Oryctolagus cuniculus: one gene and its partner. The protein of the gene in region 2 purifies or fractionates together with the protein of the main gene of each other region. This does not show direct contact. Links are inferred from orthologs where the notes say so. Each region holds a gene or a part of one and is shown on either strand. Other genes may lie near its edges.

Evidence for each region.
Region 1: the proteins of PPP1R15A (region 2) and EIF2S1 purify together in Homo sapiens (affinity purification with western blotting; 4 studies listed by BioGRID and IntAct, with this or other methods). This does not show direct contact. The link is inferred for Oryctolagus cuniculus from reciprocal best matches to the Homo sapiens genes PPP1R15A and EIF2S1.

The regions. Positions count from the first base shown.
Region 1 is NC_091451.1:13,211,546-13,216,054, reverse strand, and holds the start of EIF2S1 (eukaryotic translation initiation factor 2 subunit 1), read right to left. Parts: upstream 3,050-4,509; 5' UTR 2,507-3,049; intron 840-2,506; exon of another isoform or gene 1-839. UniProt on the Homo sapiens protein: Member of the eIF2 complex that functions in the early steps of protein synthesis by forming a ternary complex with GTP and initiator tRNA. This complex binds to a 40S ribosomal subunit, followed by mRNA binding to form a 43S pre-initiation complex (43S PIC).
Region 2 is NC_091449.1:8,337,678-8,342,024, forward strand, and holds the start of PPP1R15A (protein phosphatase 1 regulatory subunit 15A), read right to left. Parts: upstream 2,948-4,347; 5' UTR 2,732-2,947; intron 2,148-2,731; 5' UTR 2,139-2,147; coding exon 615-2,138; intron 301-614; coding exon 1-300. UniProt on the Homo sapiens protein: Recruits the serine/threonine-protein phosphatase PPP1CA to prevents excessive phosphorylation of the translation initiation factor eIF-2A/EIF2S1, thereby reversing the shut-off of protein synthesis initiated by stress-inducible kinases and facilitating recovery of cells from stress.

The DNA of each region.
Region 1 (4,509 bases), on a different chromosome or scaffold from region 2:
AGGAAGGCAGTGGAGGATGGCCCAAGTGCTTGGGTGCCTGCACCTGCATGGGAGACCAGGAGGAAGCACCCGGCTCCTGGCTCCTGATCAGTGTAGCTCCGGCCGTGGCAGCCATTTGGGGGGTGAACCAACGGAGGGAGGACCTTTCTCTCTGTCTCTCTCTCACTAACTCTATCTGTCAAATAAATAAAGAAAAAAATGGAAAGAAAAGGATAATTTTCTTGTAAGGTTTTTTTTTTAAACCTTTTTTTTCCTTAGCTGAAGAGAAATCACATGATTTATCTGGCCCTTTCATCATTTTCATAGCATCTTGCCTTATTTTATTTGGTCTCCAAAAACAATGTTGAGTCAAACAAGTATCACGCGTCATGGTGAAATCTGGGAGCAGCCCTAAATTTGGGTTCCAGTCCTGCGCACCTGCCTCTGAGGTGTGGTTGTCTGGGAAGGTGTCCCTTTTCATCTCTGGTTTCTCCTTTGTGCCATATACTTCACAGATGTGATGGGTCTATCCAATGCAATCAAATGTATGCAACAACATTTTAAAAAGTGTAATGTGTTACACAAACATAAGGTATTAAAAGGCAAAGGAGGGACAGGCATTTAGCCTAACCTTAAAGATGCTAATTAACATGCTTGTGTCCCAGACCAGAATGCTTGGGTTCAATACTTGGCTGATCCAGGCCTTGGGAAGCAGTGGGGATGGCTGGTTATTGGGTTCCTGTCATCCATATGGGAGACCTGGGTTGCCTGGGCCTACTACAAGTCATTTTGGAAATTTAGAGAGTGAAATTAGTGAATGCTTTCTTTCCCTCTCTCTTTAAAAAAAAAAAAAAAAAAAGGCAAAGAAGTATTATTTCCATTTTGTAATTTACTGCATTAATCAATTTTCCCCCCAGTACCTAAGGTGTAAATATGGAGTAGGAAACAAACTAGTAAGCAAATAATTACAATACAGAGTACTAAGAAAGCAGCACAGTGAAGCAATCAATTATCAAAGAATAGAAATATTAAACGTCCTCCTCAAGGACAAATGCTTAATACAGACTAGAGCAGGAGCTAAATGTAAGTCTTCTGACCTTACATTGAGGGCTTCTCAGAGTCTCAGTGTGACAGAGGACAACACTGTTAAGGTGTTCTGATGCAAAAAAATCCATCTTTCAAAATATCTTAACCCAACTCCAAACACCTCACATTGTATGTTTGCCATATGACTTTTTTTAAGTGTTTACTTACTTATTTAACAGGCAGACAGAGATCTCCCATCCACTGGTTTACCCTCTAAACGCCCCAAGGGTCTCCCACAAGGACAGCAGGGACCCAAGTACTTGACCTATCACTTGCTGCCTCCCAGGGTGCCCACGAGCAGAAAAGCTGGAATGCGACAGGGCCAGTGCTTGAATCCACACACTCCAGCACGCGGGAATCCCAGGCAGCATGTTAAACCCCATGCTAGCTGTCTGCCCCAGAGCTGCCTCCTCACACGAGCGCACAGGCAGGCACCGTCCGGGGCACAGGAAGTCGACATTTCTCTGCAGGGTAGGATGTGCTACGTGACGATTCTGTCGGCTCCAGCACTTACTCAGCAGCTGTGCTCTCTCTGAATGCGAGTTCTAGGCACAGGAGTGCCGCACGCTTACCTGCAGCTGATACCGGAAGTCCCACTCAACTGCACAGTCTGAGAATCGGTACCTGTCACTTGACGGGAAGCAAACTGAGGTAGGAAGCTCTATTTAAGTAACCCATGAGAGTCAGTTAGAAGTTCTTTTTTCCCCTTAACTAACAACTCAATAGAGGGGAGAAAAAAACAAATCGAGACGTCTCCGCTGTATTACTTCTCCAAGAAGTGTTCCCTGCTGAACAAAAACTGTATAAGGCAGGCTAAGTTTCAGGGTTACAAGGATTTGGGGTGAATTCGTATTTAAGCTTAGTCTTTCCCTACCTTGAGCTTTTCGTTACGACTAACTGTACGACCAGAATACTACAAAGATCCATCGTTAGCAGGATACTGCAAACCGACAGTAACAGTAAGAGACTCCTGGGTCCCAAGATTTAGTTTCAGTTCGAGTTGTGACTCATCCTACAGAAATGCACAACTAGAGCGAAAAGGCAATAAGGCTACGTTCTCAAAAATCAGATTAATAAGGCACTTTATGGGCCCAGATGTTCTCAACACCTATCCTTAGAGAAGAGATTGGTTTGATTTCAAAAAAAAAAAAAGATGCAAGCTGGGAGCCGGAAAAAGCAGAGCTGGGCGTCCCGGGGGCGGAGGCAGGGTGGCCAGGGCCCCACCTCGGGGGAGCCCCACTTTGGGCATATTGCAGAGGCTGTACAAGCCACTCGGCCCAGGACACAGCCCGAGGGTGGCGGCCGCGGTGTCCACACTTCCCGCGCAGGCACGGGAAAGGGTGGGGGCTTCGGCCCGGGGCCTACCCTCTCTTGACCACACATGTCAGCGGACACAACCCAAAGCGAGATCTTGGAGAAACCGAGCCACGCGGTTAGCGACCTGAAGTATGCGTGTGAATCCCACACCGGGGTCCCGCGTCGCGCCTTCCAATCGCAGAGATCGGACTTGATCCAGCCGCACCAGCCGCCGAACCTCAGCGTGCGCTTCGCTCAACTCCACCGCGCATGCGGAGCCGCCTTGTCCCGCGCAGGCGCCGACAGACTAGCGGCGCTCTTCACAACTGACTATAGAGCGTGGGTCCTCCGAGTACTATGATTCCTAGGAGATCCTGAAAAGCACGTTTTCTCAGGATCTTTAATTTTTGCTAAGTAACTTTCAAGGCCCAGGGACGAGGTGGGACCATAATTCCTTGCCCTTGAGTAGGAATCCTCGCTGTAAGTTTTCGCCAACCATGAGATGGCGCTGTGACCAACGACGTAAAACGGAAGCAGAGACAGAGTGTCCTCTTCTCTCCTTTCTCGCTCCCCCTACCCCGGCGCGTGCTGCGATCTGCGCAGTCGCGGGAGAGTTGGGCTGAGGAGGAGTGTGGGGAGGCGAACCGGAAGTGAGAGGTAGTTCCGCGGTGCGCGCGCCTCCACATCCGGGCATTGCCCTCGTCCAGCACCCCACCCCTCCTCGCCCTGACAACCGGAAGCGGAAGTGAGCGATGGGTATCCTCGCTGCCTCTTAGCAACGCGCGGGGTCATCTGACAGAACCAGCTGACTCCGGTAGAGGAAGGCGCTGGGGCGGCCAGTCCTGGAGCTGTTGCAGCCACGGTTTCCCGGCGGGGTACCGAAGCCAGTCAGCCATCGTCAGAATGTCTGGCAAAGACCGAATTGAAATCTTCCCCTCGCGAATGTAAGTAAAAGGGGGCGGGTGAGCGGTGTTTCATTCTCGTAGGGTCGGGAAAGCCTGCGCGGAGGGTCCTTGTTTCTAGGGCCGACCCAGGTTCTTTTTGAGAGTCGGGGTCCCTCACTTTCCTTCTGAATGAGTCAGGCTGGACAGGAAAACGCGGCCGGACTGCCGATCGTGTGAAGGTCCGCTGTCTTTACTCCCTAATGGAACCGTTCGGTGTTCCGCGAACCCTCACTGGGCCGGGCACTGGATTTACGCAGCGTCGGGGAAGATGCATGTTATGCAAAACTGTGCACGGGATTCAGAAATGCTGTGCACCCAAACACACATCTTTGAATTCAGTTGTCCACCGGCTTTTTTTTTTTTTTTTTTTAATTTCCTAAGTGACTGCACCGTCGCCACCTCTTGCCCTTACAGAACTCAGTTTATAGTGAAGAGAGAGAAAAGGAGGTTTGGTAAACCGGCTCCGAGAAGGCTAGTTGATTGCCATGGGAAGCATACAGAAGAGTTTGGTATATCAGAGCGGGGAGTTGCGCCGGCGTGGGCGCTGGCTTGGATCTTGCAGTGCCATCCTCGTTGACCTAGCGGCCCCTGCTATGGGAACATGGCCCGTGTTTCTGTGCCACTCACCACACTGCCAAGTTTGCATGTCAAACTCTCCCACCAGACGCCCGTGTCTTGATTATGAGCTCACAGAAAGGCCCCAAAGTTCCCCTGGAATCTGCTCACTGGTGGGCCGCCTTTCTCTTTTGGGCAGAACACTTTGTCGGGAGAAACAACTTAGCTCTGCAGGTGTCTGGCCAGTTTGTAAGAAGAGTTGGACATCGCCTGAAATGGGCCTAACAGCTATGGGGAGAGTAAAGCGTTTGCATTTGTGTGCTGCCTCTCTCTCTCTCCCTCCCTCCCTCCCTCTCTCCCTCCTTCCGTTTCCACCTCCCCCTCTCCCTCCCTCCCTCCCTCTTCCTCCCCCCACCCCTCTCCCCCACCTCTCACTCCCCCTCCCTCTCCCCTCCCTCCCCCTCCCTCTCTCTCCCTCCCCACTCTCTCTCTCCCTGTCCCCTCCCCCCTCCCTCCCTTCCTCCCTTCCTCCCTCCTCCCTTCTCCCTCCCTTCCTCCCTCCTCCCTTCTCCCTCCCTCTCTCTTCCTCTTTTTCTCTCTCCCTCCTTCTCCCTCTCTCCCCTCTCTCCCTCCCCCCACCTCTACTGAG
Region 2 (4,347 bases):
GGCTTGGCACAGGGCCATGGCTTGGACTGGGGACTTGGGAGAGGCGGGGGAGGAAGGCAACGTGTGGGCGGGGGCGAGGATGGGGCCCAGGGAAGAGGGTGGGTTCCTGAGGCGCGCCCAGGCTCTGGCCCGGGGTTCAGGGCTGAGGCAGGGGCCCAGCTCCTCCTGGGCCCGGGCGATGCGGCGGGCAAAGCGGCTCCGATCCCTGGCGAACTGCTCCCAAGGGCCCTTGCGGGCAGCCTGGGCCGGCCCCGCCCACACAGCCAGGAGATGGACGGTGACCTTGTCAGAGAAGCGCACCTGGAGGTGGACAGCACGGCCATGCAAAGACGGGCATCCAGGAGGGGGAGGAGAGAACCAGAGAGCAGTGAGGCAGGACGAATGCCCACCAGAGCAGATCCCCGCGCGGCCGGGTGCCGCAGCTGCTGCCTCTCCCCCCGGGGCCCCGCCTCTCACGCAGCAGTGCGTGACAGCTCTCCCGACAGTGCACACGCAATCCTGTGCAACACGGGCGCCCAGCAGTCCCGGCCGGCAGCCCTCCTCCCCCGCCCAGGCCTTCCCACTCCCAGCCCCCTCCTCCCCGAGCCTCAAGGCCCAGGGCCCTCGGCACCCACCTTTCTGGCCAGGGGAGTCTCAGGGTCCGGACCGCGGGCCGGGGCCTCTGAGACCTTGAGCCGCCTTCGCAGCCGGACGGGCAGCTTAGGAGGAGCCCACGGAGGGGGTGGCTTCTCTCCAGGTAGGTAGACGGCCACTCGGAAGGCAGGGGGCTCAGCTTCTCCATCCTCCTCAGCTGATCCCTCGTCGCTGTCATCGTCTGTGTCCTCTCCTGGCCGATACACCCAGGCCCTCATGAAGGCACTTGTTGCATGGGTGGGAGAGGAAACCTCAGCTTCTCCCCACTCCTCAGCTCCTCCCTCCTCCTCAGCTGATCCCTCGTCGCTGTCATCTTCCGTGTCCTCTCCTGGCCGACACACCCAGGCCCTCACGAAGGCACTTGTTGCACAGGTGGGAGAGGAAACCTCAGCTTCTCCCCACTCCTCAGCTTCTCCATCCTCCTCAGCTGATCCCTCGTCGCTGTCATCGTCCGTGTCCTCTCCTGGCCGACACACCCAGGCCCTCACGAAGGCACTTGTTGCACGGGTGGGAGAGGAAACCTCAGCTTCTCCCCACTCCTCAGCTTCTCCATCCTCCTCAGCTGATCCCTCGTCGCTGTCATCTTCCGTGTCCTCTCCTGGCCGACACACCCAGGCCCTCACCAAGGCACTTGTTGCACGGGTGGGAGAGGAAGCCTCAGCTCCTCCCTCCTCCTCAGCTGCCCTGTCAGCAGGGCCCTCCTCCTCCTCACTGTCTTCTTCCTCTGGGTCCTTGCCGGACTGACTGAGCAGGGGCCTCCGAAGGGGCGCCAGGCAGCGTGGCCCGGGGCCGGCGTCTCCTCTCCCGGCTGCTCCGTGCACCCCTTCCCCTGTCTCCCTGCTTTCCTCTCCTGAACAAGGCTCCCGGGGCCTGGGCTCGGCGCTGGAATCCGAGGCCGGATCGGAGGCCCTCCTGCCTTCCTGGCTTCCTGCTCTTTCCTCCTCCGTGGCTCGGGCCCCGCCGTCCCCTGGGCAGCGCGCCCCTCTGCTGGGCTCGGGTCCTGGAGTCGGGGAACTGGCGGCGCTGGGGGCGTCTCCATCCTCTGTGCGGGGCTCCCCCCCTGACCAGGGATAAGAGACCGGGGCCACGCCCCCTCTCTCCGCTTCCTCCGCCCCAGGGTTCTTATCAGACCCGCGCAGGCTTCCCCCCCACAGGCTGGGGCACAGGGCAGCAGGCTGGCCGGCTGCAAGCTGCCCTCCCTGTTCGACACTGGCTGCCTCTTCGTCATCGTCATCTGCAAGTCCCGGGGCCTCAGGCAGGCAGCCTTTCCGCCTGAGGCAGGGTGTCCTGCCGCTGCCTCCAGCCCCCCAGGGGGCTCCACGGGCGGCCACGGGCGCCTCCAGGCCAGCCTCGACCTGATGTTCCAGCAGCCAGCGCTGCGGAGGTCCTGGGCCTCTCAGGAGGCTCCAGGCCCGGCTGAGGAAGCCCATCAGCGGGGACAGGAGGAAGAAGGGGTGGGCGTCCCCCCAGGGGGCGCCATGATGCGGCACCTGGCCGGGCGCCATCTGTCTGGGCTGGAAAAGGGGGAGAAGGAAAGGAAATAAAGTTGAGGGGCCATTTGGGGCTGGCGCGGGGCGTGACCGTGAGTCAGGCCGCCGGAATTAGCAACAGGCGCAGCTCGGGATTCCTGACGCCGGCCACGCCCCTCTCGCGCTCTGGGGCCCGGCTCGGTCCACCCTTGGGTCCGAGCGTCCAGACCCCCGACCCCTCCTCTCTTCAGACCCAGGAGAACCAAGAACAAAGGCCTTCTCCTCGCTCCCCGTGGGGACGCAGGTCGCTCACCGCCCTGGGCACTGACAAATCAGGCCGCCATCTTTCCCTGGGGGCTCCGTACCTCCCGACACCCCCAGCCCCGCCGCGGCTTCCTTGGGGACCCAAGGGTCTGTCTCGCAGGCTCAAGCTCCAAGACTCCCAACCCTCCCGCCTTCCCAAGCTGCGGGCCCCGGCCCCCTCCTCCACGCCCCGGAGACCCCCACCCCCGGTCCTACCCCGCCCCAGGCCCTGCCTCCCTCAGGACCCGAGCTCGAGTCCCGGCCCCGAACCCTCTAGTCCCGGGAGCCCGGCCCTAGCCCCCAGCTCCCCGGCGCCCCTCGCTCACCGTCTGGGGCCTGCTCGTCACCCCGGAGGCAGGAGCGCCGGCTCGGGCTGCCAGAAGCGATCGTAGGTCCGGACGGCTCGGGAAGCCAGCGCGTTCATCTCGCCCTCAGGCGTGAGGCTCGAGGACACTTGGTCCCACCGGCGGTCGCAAGCGCAGTGGCGGCGAACGGGCGTCTCGCATGTAATCTTCCACGGTGCTGGCTGGCGACTGAGCGGTGGAGCACGGACGCCGCTCGCGGCGCTTTTATAGGCCGGCGCGCTGACGTCACGCGGGGCGGGGCTTCGGGAGCCCGCCTCCGCGGGCGGGGAAGCGAAAAGGGAACCGGGACTTCTCGCGGGGATTCCAGGCCTGTGACGTCACGGCGGCCTTTCCGGACGGGCTGTCCGTCACGCACGTGCCCCTGGCTCAGCTCTGCGCGATGGCTCCCCAGCCCAGCGTAGGCGGCGGGCCCCAGCCTGCGGTCGCTGGCGGACGGGGGTGGCCGTGTCCCCGTTCCACTTGCCCAAGGTGGTCACTGCAGCGTCCAGCCTCCTAGCGGGCAGGCCGGCCCCTGCTCGGCTGTATTCGCGGGGCTGCACTGCACAGTCGGCATTTCGCCTACTGATTTACTGTTCGATGTAACCATGGCCTTAAATATTTTCTTAATAAAGTATTTATTATTTATTTATTTGATAGCGTGAGAGAGAGAGAGAGAGAGAGAGAGCTTCCATCTGCTGGTTCACTCCTTAAATGGCTGCAAGTAGCCAGGACCAAGCCGGGTCAGAACCAGGAGCAAGAAGCTCCACCCAGGTCTCCCCCGAGGCTGGAGGGGCCCTGGGGCCTTCACCTGTCTGCTCAGGTGGGAACTGGATGAGCAGAGCAGCTGGGGCTGGAACCCGCGCTCTGACGTGGGGTTCCGGTTGGCCTTAAAGTGTCTGTATATATTACCTATGTATATTTTTAAAGATTTGTTTATTTTAAAGGTAGAATGACAGAGACAGCTGGAACTAGATCCGGCTGAAGCCAGGAGGCAGGAACTCCCTCGGGTCTCCCATGTGAGGTGTGGGGGGGCCAAGCCCTGGGCCATCACCCTCTGCCTTCCAGGGGGCATTAGCTGAGTGGCCGGCCTCGCACCAGCCCTCTGGTGGGGGTGTGAGTGTCCCAGCCGGCAGCTGAAGCCCCTGCTCCACAACACCTGAAGAAATTACTTTTTAGGGTGCACGTTTTGGTTAGGACTGGGTGACTCCCTCCTGGGAGTGGGAAGCATTTGCTCTGAGCGCCAGGCCCAGGGACACAGAGCCAATCCCCTGTCCCTCTTCCCCTAGCCGGTCCATAACTTTGCTCCCCAAAATGTGCCCCAGCTCCCACCTGGATCAGAGATGGAGATTCGGAGCTGCCCCCTACTTGACCTTGCCCCAGCCAGCGTCTGGAACTGGATCAGGCTGACACCAGGAGCCAGGAACTCCCTCGGGTCTCCCATGTGAGCGGCGGGGACCCAACCCCTGGGGCCATCACCCTCTGCCTTCCAAGGGGCATCCGGGAAATCCAGGCCGCCCCTGTGCCTAGGTGATGGAAGCACCCAGCCCCGCCCAATCAAAGTCTCCCTTCCAGAACCGAGGAGCCCCGACTCAGGCTGT